Caenorhabditis elegans: one gene and its partner. The protein of the gene in region 1 interacts with the protein of each later gene in a pairwise test. Each region holds a gene or a part of one and is shown in the gene's direction. Other genes may lie near its edges. The genes, in order: ssr-2 and C52A11.3.

Region 1 (6,931 bases):
AACTTGGCTCTTTTTTTATTGGAAGTGTTGACCTGCCATAAAAACTTTTTGCAAATTTTTTGAGAAATTTCATCATGACTGTTCATTTTATCAGATTTTAAGTCTTTACGTTCAACCAACTTTTCAATTTTGAACGTTTTTTTATTAAAACCATTTGTCTTTAATAAAATGAGATAAACTACCAAAAAATGCAATAAAATTTGAACCACCATAAAACATTTTTGGCATTTTTTTTAGAGAAGTATTATTTTGAAATTTGGTTGTTTTGGACCAGTTTTAGTATATTTAAGCAAAAACCCCACAAACTATGTCCCCTCCTTTAAAAAAACAATGCCATCAAGTCATCTCATCTAGATTCCTACTAACAATTTTCAAGTTAATGGTGTCAAACAGGGGACGAATTGCTTGCTCTGTTGCTGCGAGAGTGCTCTTTTTGCTTCAATGCTCATCAAGTCCTAATCTATCCATTGCTAGTTTTTGTCGACTTCGAACCAAAAAAAAAATGCGCAGAGGAGTTCCCTTCTCATTAAGCTTTTTTTTTTGATTTGTTAATAATTGCAGGTACTCATTTAGCTGGAATTTTTTAAAAATTATTTTTTAAATTTTGAGCATTTTTAGGTAGGCTTCACAAATTTTAATTTCTTATAACTTAAAAATTTTGCGTCCCTGATTTTATTTGTAAATTTTTGCTAACAAGAATCTAATCTTTCAATCGGAACTAAGAAAATTTTTGTGAATCTGAAACTAATTATTTTCTTTTGTTTCTCGTTTTGATTTAGAATTAAGAGAATTCTGAAAATCAAAGTCAGTTCTGGAAATGTGTGTTTCTCGATAAAATTGATTGCTACTCGGAATTTTGGAAGTGTAGGCATTTTTAATTTTTTTTGTTTTTTTTTTGGGAAAAAAATGAAAAAAAAAGAAAAATTGTTTTACGGTAAAAATTTAAAAATTGAACGAATGATTTTTCAATTCAAATATCAATGAAAAATTAGAAAAAAAAACAAATCCCGACAATTTTGCCCAGTTTTTGCCTTTTTAAATTCAAAATTAAATCAGCCGCTTCATCTCAAATATTTTGGTTATTGGCAAAAGTTATCAAAAATTTTGAAATTTTTTGCAAAAATTCCCAATTTTGACTTCTGTTCCTGATGCAACAAATTATGATAATTCAAAAAAAAAGTCACTTTCGGACCGCTGCAAAAGTGGCGGAAATTAAAAATGTTTTGCTAAAATCGCGATAATTTCTTTAACAAATATTTTTGAGAAGTTTCATTAGATGGTCATTTGAGAATTCTTCACGTTTAAAATTCTCTCCTTTAATTATTCTAACATTTCCCCGTTTTTATACATATACTTTCCAAATTATCAGATTTTGAAACCAAACTTTTCTTAACATTTTTACTGTTTAGTGAGGCTATTGTTTTTTTTATTTCCAAAATAACGAGAACTGCAATAAGACTTCTTTTCGTAGTACAACTCTATTATTCAGGGAAAATATTTGAATAGTAGTTTTCCTATTATTCACGGAGCATCAATTTCCAGAGAGTGCTTCTGGGTTGGTTATTCACACACACACACACATAGAAAGACACAATGCCTCTGCACCTTGCTCATCCATTGGCACTCAGTTTCATTATGTTTGGTTTTTACTGCTCACGTTTGTTAATTCCTTCCTTAACTATCAACTATTTTCTGGGGCCTAGTTTACTGTAGGCTTTTTTGGAAGTAAGATGTTGAGTGTGTGCTCTGCATGTCAGAGAGCTTATACCAATGTAATATGTAGATTACGAGGCTCTAATCCGTCAACCAGTAACTGCTCTCCTCATTTCTCCTGATCTAGACCCAAGGAGAAGTGAGAAAGGAAGAAAGACGAGGATAAAAAGATATAATTCCGGAGAGAAGGGGGGGGGGTGTTTTCTCTCTTATACTCCCTCTCAAGACTCATATTCATCTTCATATTCTCTTTCTATCAGTTAGTATCTTCCGAGAAAGAAAAAAAAAGCGAGAAAGGAGAAGTCACGTTTTCCGTCCGCGGCTTCTCCCAACAAAACAAGTGACGCAACCCTTGTTCAATCGGCTGTGCAGACCAGCCAAACCTGCAACTCATATTCTGTCCGTCGGTATTTTTCTTTTCTTCTGGTCCTTATTGTGCACCGCGATGACTTCAACGCTTCCATCAACAATTGTAGGTTTACCAGATCAGGAAGAAAAAACATAAGGCGTGAGAAAAACCAAAAAATAGGAAAAAAAGAGAGGTCTACACCAGTGCTGTGCCGCTTTTTAAAAAACTTTTTCCATACAAAAATTGATATAGAAATGCAAAAAATGGTTTGTTCCGTCTGAAAATGAAATTTTTTTTGTAGAATTTTTTGTAGAGATTTTTTTTACTCCCAGTCAATTTTTTGGCAATTTGCCAATTTTTTGAAAAAATTTTGACTACTGGAACTTCTTGATGTATAATTAAAACAAAAGTAAAGTATGAAATTCGCAGAATTTAATTTTTGACCGACTTTCAAAATTAGGAGTACATGTTTTTTTTTGACCGACTTTCAAAATTATAAATATGTCATTTTGGCACTATTGATGTAGTTTTGAACACTTTCCCCACTGGCCCTACTCCACATTTAACACCATACCAACCTACCTCCATACTGCAGTAAACAGAAATTGAAAGTTTGAAAAAAGGACTAAACGGAAGGACTCGTGGATGAAATTAACAAGTGATCCTACAAACACTAGTTAGATCTCTGTATTCATTCAAAACCTTTCTCTACCCCCCCCCCCCCCCCTCTTAACTTTCAAACTTTGAGAGTTTTAAATTACAAACGACTTGTATTTATACGAGCACTTAAAATCTTACATTGTCTCTCATTTTATTTGGAAAGGAGAATTCGTTTCATGACTTAATATCCTAGCCACCAGGCATAAATTGCTATGGAGAAGGTACATGAACCATTAAAATAGCAAACAAGGCCAAGAACATTTATTGCCAAAACTCCGATTCTCTTCCCAATATTCCAACTATCCATTTTCAAATCTTATATTGTGTGCTTCCCTGTCAATATGTTCAAATGCTTGCAGCCCAAAACCGAGGACGAAATGTGCGAAGAACGGTACCGTCTGGTGGTGCTGGGTTCTGCGAAAGTGGGAAAAACTAATATTATTCGTCGCTACTTATATAATGAATTTTCAAGCAAGTATAAGGAAACGATTGAGGATTTACATTCGAGAGAGTTTCGTATCCAGGTTGGTTCTTTCATTCAAATCTTTGGGTCAGGGCTTCCATAGGAGGCAGGCAAGCTTCCAGGGCCTAACACCTGCCTCCAACCTGCCCGCCTCACGCCGCCCTCTCGCCTTATTTCAGCTTTTGCCGCGGCCGACACTTTTCGGGTTACTCGACGCACTATACAGAAAGCGCGAGGCGAGCGGAGGTCGCCGCAAGGAAGGCATTTTGGTACCCGCGTGGAAGGCCTGGGGGAAGTAGAATTTGTGGATATTTTGCTTAAATAGGGTGAAACTGGCCCAGCACGGCCGAATTTCATAATGAAAATAATTTCCAAACGTTTTTAATGAGGGGTCAAATTTTCAAAACAAATTCTAAGAAACGTAGTCAGATTTTTTCAAATTCTGAAATTTCGCAATTTTTCTTTGCTGGAATATAGTTTACCAGCCGTGGACCGCAACTCCGGCGCGGCCCCCGACTTCTGGAGCTGAAAACCATATTTTCTGAAACTACCGTAATCATACAGTACTCCTACCGTACCACCATTGTACCACTACAGTACCCCGACTATATCCCTACACTAACCCCAACTCACTATCCCTCCAGAAGCCAAAACTTCACAGACTACAAAGACTACAAAGACTACAAACTATGGACAAACGGAATAAGCGCTTTATATATAGTAAATGATTTTTGAAATTATCAAACTATAAAAAGCATACTCTGGTAGTTGATATCGTGTAGGCATATAAAATTATCAAAATTTCAAAAAGCGACAAAGAAAAGCTGGCGGAGTTTCAGATTTTAGAAAAATTTGGCCGCCATGAAAAATTGGAAGTTTTTTGAGAAGTTTCATTACGAAATTCGGTCGCTTTCGGTCTTTTTCTCTCTACCCTTCCCCCCTCCCTTTAAACTTCCAAAGAACAAATGGAAAGTTGATTCACATTAATGTTTCAGGGTGTCCCATTACCACTAGACATTTTGGATACCAACTTCAATTTTCCCGACATGAGACGTCTTTCGATTGCATCAGCGTCGGCCTTTCTTCTAGTTTTCTCGGTGGACGACGTCACAAGCTTCAAGGAGGCAAGTTAACGATACCGTAACCCACATTTCCGAATTAGCAGCGAGTTTTGAGCAAAAATAGACTAAGTCTTCACACATGTGCGAAGGATAGATGAGCAGCTACTAATGCGACAAGATTTCATATCATTTTCAGATGTCGGATATATGGCAAGAAATATGCTCAAGGCGTAGTGATTTGAATGAGCTGCCGATTGTTGTTGTGGGAAACAAATGCGATGTTGAAAATAAGAAGGTAAAAAATTTCTGAATTTTCTTTTGAGATTTTTTTCTGGTACCCATTTAAAGATATACGAAGAAACGGCGAAAGCATTCACAAATCGCTTATCGTCCGACGTTCGTTATATCGAGGTGTCGGCCAAAGACAATATCCGGATTACCGACGTATTCCGCACACTGCTCGAATTATCCGGTTTCCCACGATGCAAAGTGAGTGTGTGTGTGCGTACGCACACAATCTATCTTGATAGAATATGAGAATAGTGTGAGTTATTCAGGCGGGTGGTGGTCGTCTCGATGATGTGGCCGAGGACGAAGAGACCAGGAGCAGCCCATCGATCCGTAGATCGGCAACGGTGCGGGCGAAGTCGACGACTAGGCGGGACCCGAGGAAAACATTGATGGAGGTACAAGCAGCTGAGTTGTATAATTTCCCAGAAAAGTTCAAAAGTTTAAATTGAAATTGTAATGCTGTAATGCTACTTGTTGGGGGGATAAGTCCTGGGTGAAAAAAAAAATTATAATTTCTTTTAGTGGCATATCGATTTTTTCTAATGCGGGAATGCATGCTAGTTCAGCTAAGTTACGACGTTTCAAAAATAAAAAATCTCCTCTTGAAAAAAAAAATTATTTGTAAAAAAATTGCTTTTTTGAATATTGATAAAAATACTTCTGAGTTGATCAAAAAAAGTTTTTTTTTTGAATTTGTTGGTAAATTGGTTAAGCATTTATATGGTACGGCTACTAAAAAAGTTTTTGAATAAAGCAGATTTTGAATTTTTACTTGACAATTTTGCTGTGAATATTAGAAAACCGTAATCCCCGAAAATAAAAAATAATGAATTTATAAAATTATTTTCAGTTTTTAATGATTTCTCAAGTTTGCAAAATTATGCTCATTATATAAAATTCACCAGCAAATTAGTGACGTCATTTTATACATTTTCTGTGTTTTTGATACATGAATTTCTTTCTGGTTAACAACTTTCATTTTCCAAAAAATGTTTTCAAAATTGGGAAACTGTGTGTCACATCAAATATTCAATAAAATAAGCAGAGAAACCCCAATCATTATAGCTGGAAAGCAAAAAAATGACAAAAATGTCGTCACTAATTTGCGCGTGATTTCATAAATAATTAGCCAATTTCTTCTGTTCAAAATAAAACAAAATATATTAGAAAATTAGCAAAGTTTTATAATTTTTTATAGTCACTACGGTTCCATTTCTGTCATTTAAAACCAAAAAAAGTTTTGGACTCTACTCCACCTTCAGTAAAATCCAACAAACTTTGATTCCTTTTTCAGAAAGTTAGCCGGATGTGATGTACCATTTTTTGAAGTACTATACTCTTATACGTTTGCATTTCAGGATGAGAAAAACACAGCTTCTACAAAAAACGGCTCACAATCTGCTCGTGAGCAACCTCAACTTGATAAGCAGGCTTCTCACCCCGTTCTTGCAGTCCCGCTGCACATTGGCGATTTGAAAAGAAACCTTTCTTTAAGAGTATGTATCAATCCCTATGTAACAAAACATAATTTCTCTCTATTCCCATACATGTGATGACGTTTTTATTCAGATGAAGTCACCGCGTAGGGACAAAGAACAAGTCGAGAGGAAGCTGTCGGATGAGCCTAAAATTTCACGCAGCTCCAGTCTTATCCGGTTTGAAAGAGAATTTAAAAGCAATGAAAAAGTGTCATTTTTTCAGGAGAACAAAACATCTATCTTTGAAAATGCGTCGTCATGGAGAAAAGTCAAATCACGAGGAAATCGTCGACGAGAGTGATTGCAAAATTCAATAAATTATTATTTTTTTGTAACCAACGATTTATCACTGTATTTAATTATATATCTTTCTGGGAAGTAAAATTGTATTTGGATTAACTTTATTTTGGCGATGAAACTCATGAGATAGGAGAAGAAAAAAAAATATATATATATATGAACATGTTGAATGAGAAAAAAAAATGATTTGAAAATTTCTTGACATTAATCAGTTGCGTCTGTTACATATTAAAAAATTGTGCAAAAACTCATTCAATTTCAAATTGTCAAAAAAGGATTAGGTTAAGGGAGGAAAAGGGGGTGAAAGAACAAAAATTGAAAAAAATTATCAGAGTAAGAAAATTTTGCAGTTTACTCGTAGGGCGAAATAAAACGGTTTGCAAAAAACTAATTAAGGGTGATGTGCGAAATTTGTCTTCAACTGTTTACTACTAGAATTTTAGATACACACAGAAAGTAGAAAGTATGGGAAATATTGCATTACTATTAAAACCAATTTTCTACATCACAAATTTAGGTGCATTTCTTTTTCTACTCCATCCCTCTTTTTAGAACATTTACATTGATAAAAACGTGACCTTTTTCTGTATTTTCCGGCTTAATAATGTTGTTTTCT
Region 2 (3,767 bases), on another chromosome or scaffold:
TTACAGGATATTTTCTACTTATTTGAAATGAAAATTCGTGACTTTTGCGCTAACCAGACCTGGTCTGGGAGAACCGATTTTTCTAAAACCATCCTATCTGAATTATGACAAATATAATTGCTCTACCAGAACCCCAGTTTATACTTTATTCAAACTTAATTTATACTTATCAATTGGCATTTTCGCCGATTCAATTTCAAACAAGTTTGGCTAAAAGAGAGCAAGATGACAGAAGTATGTGAGTTTGATGTGGGCAGAGGAACAGGTGATTTTTTGAAAAAAGAGGAAAGATGGAAATAGAAAATGCCGTACGAAAAAAGTTAATTCACATTCTTCGTTTTTCGGAAATCCAAAACCTGAATTACATTCACACGGAGGCTCGTTTCTTTCGGTGTCTTCTGCTTCTGACAACACAGAGTCTCCTTGACAACGATTCGTGGCTCAAATGGAGTGAGAATTCGAAGAAAAGGTAGTAGAAGGGAATAGAAAGAGGAAAGGGATTCAGAAAAAATTGTTCGAAGAATTGTTCTGTCTTAAATTAACGGGGGAAAACAGGATCTGTTTACACGCTACAATGAGAAGTTTTGTAGAATTATGTACATTCTGAAAGCAATAGAAATACAATTTTGAAATCAAGTGCTCGTGAAAAAGGAATATTCCAGATTAAATACAAATACAAAAATAAAAATCTAAAGTATTCAAGTCAGGGAATTTTCGTACAAAACATGACAGTCCAATTTTTTCCTGGGAAGGAATAACAACATTTAAAGAGCGAATTGAAAATGAGAAAAATAATTGAAATTTTTTAGAAAAAGACTTTAAAAAAAGTGTGGTGCGTCAGAAAATCTTCAGATCAATTTCCCAAAAACCGAACTTAGGTACAAGAAAAAGCTAGAAAAAAAGGGTTAAAATTCAGCTATGTGCAATTTTTTTTTGAATTTTGGCAACTTTCAAAATTATCATACATTTTTTAAAAAGGAGTCAAATTTATATTTTGTGAAAAATTCGATTTTTTGCCGAATAAAAATTCTGAATGATTTTTTTTCCATGACACATCTAGTTTCAAACAATGTTAGCTTGTCTGATCTTCTTTTTTGAAATGAGACATATTTTTACGCATGTTAACCTCGAAATTATTAAAACTTTAAAAAAAGGAGCGGAAATGATTTTTCAAACTCCGCACAAGGTAAGATATAAGGCACAAACCAGTCGGAACTACAAAATTAACAAATTTTATATGGAAGAAAATTTTAACTTTTTGTTTTTATTTTTAACGTTTGACAGATAATATTTGCGAAAATCTGGTTAGAACAGAATTTTGGTAGCAGCTGACATTTTCTTAGATTATATTTCACTAATTTTAAATATATATTTGCAATTATTTACTGATTGTGAGAACTTTCAAGTTGATTTAGAACAAGTAAAAAAAATTAAGAACTTCTAGACTGTAGGCATGCAAGTTTTTTAACGTCATTCTTACTCATCTCAGTTTGGAAACCCCTTCTCTGATCATACTAAATAATTTATTTGAGATTGTTAGCAACAAAAAAGTCCCTAAAGTGATGACTATTGTGATTCATAATTATATAAATGTTCAATATATCACGCGTTACCCTATGATCTCATGAAAATGATCAGAGGGTAAATATGATTTATTCAAAAACAATGAAATATAATGTTAATTGGAGAGGTAAAGTTTGAGCCGGGAAGGTATAAATATAAAGTTGAGAGTAATCATTTTCTGATGAAAGATTTTTACTATCAGTTTGGACCATAACTTTCTACGGATTCCAGAACAATGCGACGAATCACTTGCTGCTTTCCGGTAATTAATCGTTTTGTGGAAAAATAATTATTGAACATTAGGATTATTATTCAAAAATACTGCCCCTTTGCTTGACAATTTTTGAAACAATTTTCAAGTATAAAACATATAAAACATCCTAAAGAGCTTATGAAACATATTTAATAATACTACAGATAAAAATTCACCGAAGACAACCACCTAGTCCACCATCAACTATCACATTGAGCAGTTATGAGTACAGTTCACTCGCTGTCGGAATCATTTCCGATTTGAAAGAAGAGGGTTGTGATACATTACTTGTCAAGCTTCAGAAGGTTTTCATCAACACTTCCATTATACTTTCATAGATTTTTCTCAGGATGCCAATCGGAAAATCGGAATGGGAGTCGGGGTAAGAGATCGTGGAATCCTCATAACCACTGTAGTACCTGGATCGGTTGCCGCTGAGAAATTGAAAGTTGGAGATCGTATTTTGGCGGTCAATGGACGTCCAATTTTGGATCAGGTAAGAATGATACAACAAATAGGAGACACAATAAAATTATCCAAAAACTGACTGAAATTGAAAAAATTTTCTAAGGGGGAAATTTGTGCAAGATGCGAGCAAGACTAACTAGTTTATATTTATAACAAACATTTAGATATCCGATATCTATATTTGTCACTTACTTCAGCGCTCGGTGGTGAAATCGGTCAAAGCATCTGGTCAACGACTGTATCTTCAAATCGCCCGTCCTCACAAGGTACATAAATAATGGTCCCTATATTTTAATTATTGCGCTACGAACAGTTTCTTTTTATCTTCTAATTATTTGAAATCGTATATTTCTTCCCAAAAATTATTTTCCAAAAGGCTAATTTCAGCAAAAAGCCTCAACCAACCTCATCAACTTTTTTTGGCATTACCAAAGTTTCTAAAATTTGTTGAAGTTTGCTGCAAGAAATTGATAAGATACAATAATTATTTCCCCAACGAACCCTTTATCTGTACCAAAATTCAAATCTCGCATTGTAACGGAATGCACTTACTTACTGTTGTAGATTTTATCCGTCAAAAAATCTATTTTGCTAGCAATTTCACCTCCTCACACACGCTATAACATTTTTTTTCCTGACTAACCTCAACAGTTTTATTGTAACGATCTTAAAAAATTATTGAACTTCCTGGTGGGAGGTTACTCGACTAATTGGAATATTTATGAAATATTAAAAAAAAACAATAAACACAAGAAAAACAGTTTATTATATACTATTCATGCGTGGGAAATTATCCAAAAATAAAACAATGAAAGATCCAAAATAAGGACTAAAAGATAGAACACTAAACTTAAGGAAATAATATCACCGCATACTTTGCAAATGGGTGTAAAACGACTAGATATTCAGCATGTTTGGAACGAATTGAATAGTTTTCAAAAAAAAAAACGGTAAAACTTCAAAAAGAAAAACATTTCAAAAAAGTACCCTGCAGAGTTTGACAGAAGAGGCGAGACATAATTGACTGCCTACAAAATGCATAAAATTGCTCGCCTATATTTCAAAAAAAAAAATTCAAAAAAAATTAAGAAAAAAATATGGAAACCTGAGTTGTGTTGAAAGTTGGGGGAGAGGATTCGAATCAAGAAAAAAACAAGGAAATAATTTTAAGGGGGAAGCGGTACGAATAACATTGAGCACTTTTGAAGGTAGGAATGCTAGAATATTATTAGAAGTTCGTCAGAAAATGAACGACGAATATGAAGGGAAAGAGTGTAAAACCCGGAAATCGAAACGAATTGAGTGTTTGATCACCTACAAGACTAAAATATCACGTATGTTGTAACAGGGAGAAGTGTGTGAGAGAGGGTCTACAGTACTAGTCTTTTCATTGTTGAGGGATACTGTGTGGACGGGCAATTTGAAGATACAGCCGTTGACCGGAGGCTTTGACAAATGTCACCGCGGAGAGCTGAAAATATTT

Evidence for each region.
Region 2: the proteins of ssr-2 (region 1) and C52A11.3 interact in a two-hybrid assay, tested with the Caenorhabditis elegans proteins (one large-scale study listed by BioGRID).

What each region holds. Positions count from the first base shown.
Region 1 is NC_003284.9:2,822,980-2,829,910, reverse strand, and holds ssr-2 (Sperm-Specific family, class R), read left to right. Parts: upstream 1-2,158; coding exon 2,159-2,185; intron 2,186-3,081; coding exon 3,082-3,246; intron 3,247-4,180; coding exon 4,181-4,309; intron 4,310-4,442; coding exon 4,443-4,541; intron 4,542-4,594; coding exon 4,595-4,735; intron 4,736-4,803; coding exon 4,804-4,932; intron 4,933-5,895; coding exon 5,896-6,033; intron 6,034-6,106; coding exon 6,107-6,192; intron 6,193-6,238; coding exon 6,239-6,332; 3' UTR 6,333-6,410; downstream 6,411-6,931.
Region 2 is NC_003280.10:10,735,604-10,739,370, forward strand, and holds C52A11.3 (PDZ domain-containing protein C52A11.3), read left to right. Parts: upstream 1-1,755; 5' UTR 1,756-1,798; coding exon 1,799-1,825; intron 1,826-1,980; coding exon 1,981-2,121; intron 2,122-2,165; coding exon 2,166-2,312; intron 2,313-2,481; coding exon 2,482-2,562; 3' UTR 2,563-3,025; downstream 3,026-3,767. Other genes in the region: mpz-1 (PDZ domain-containing protein), read right to left, coding at 3,672-3,755.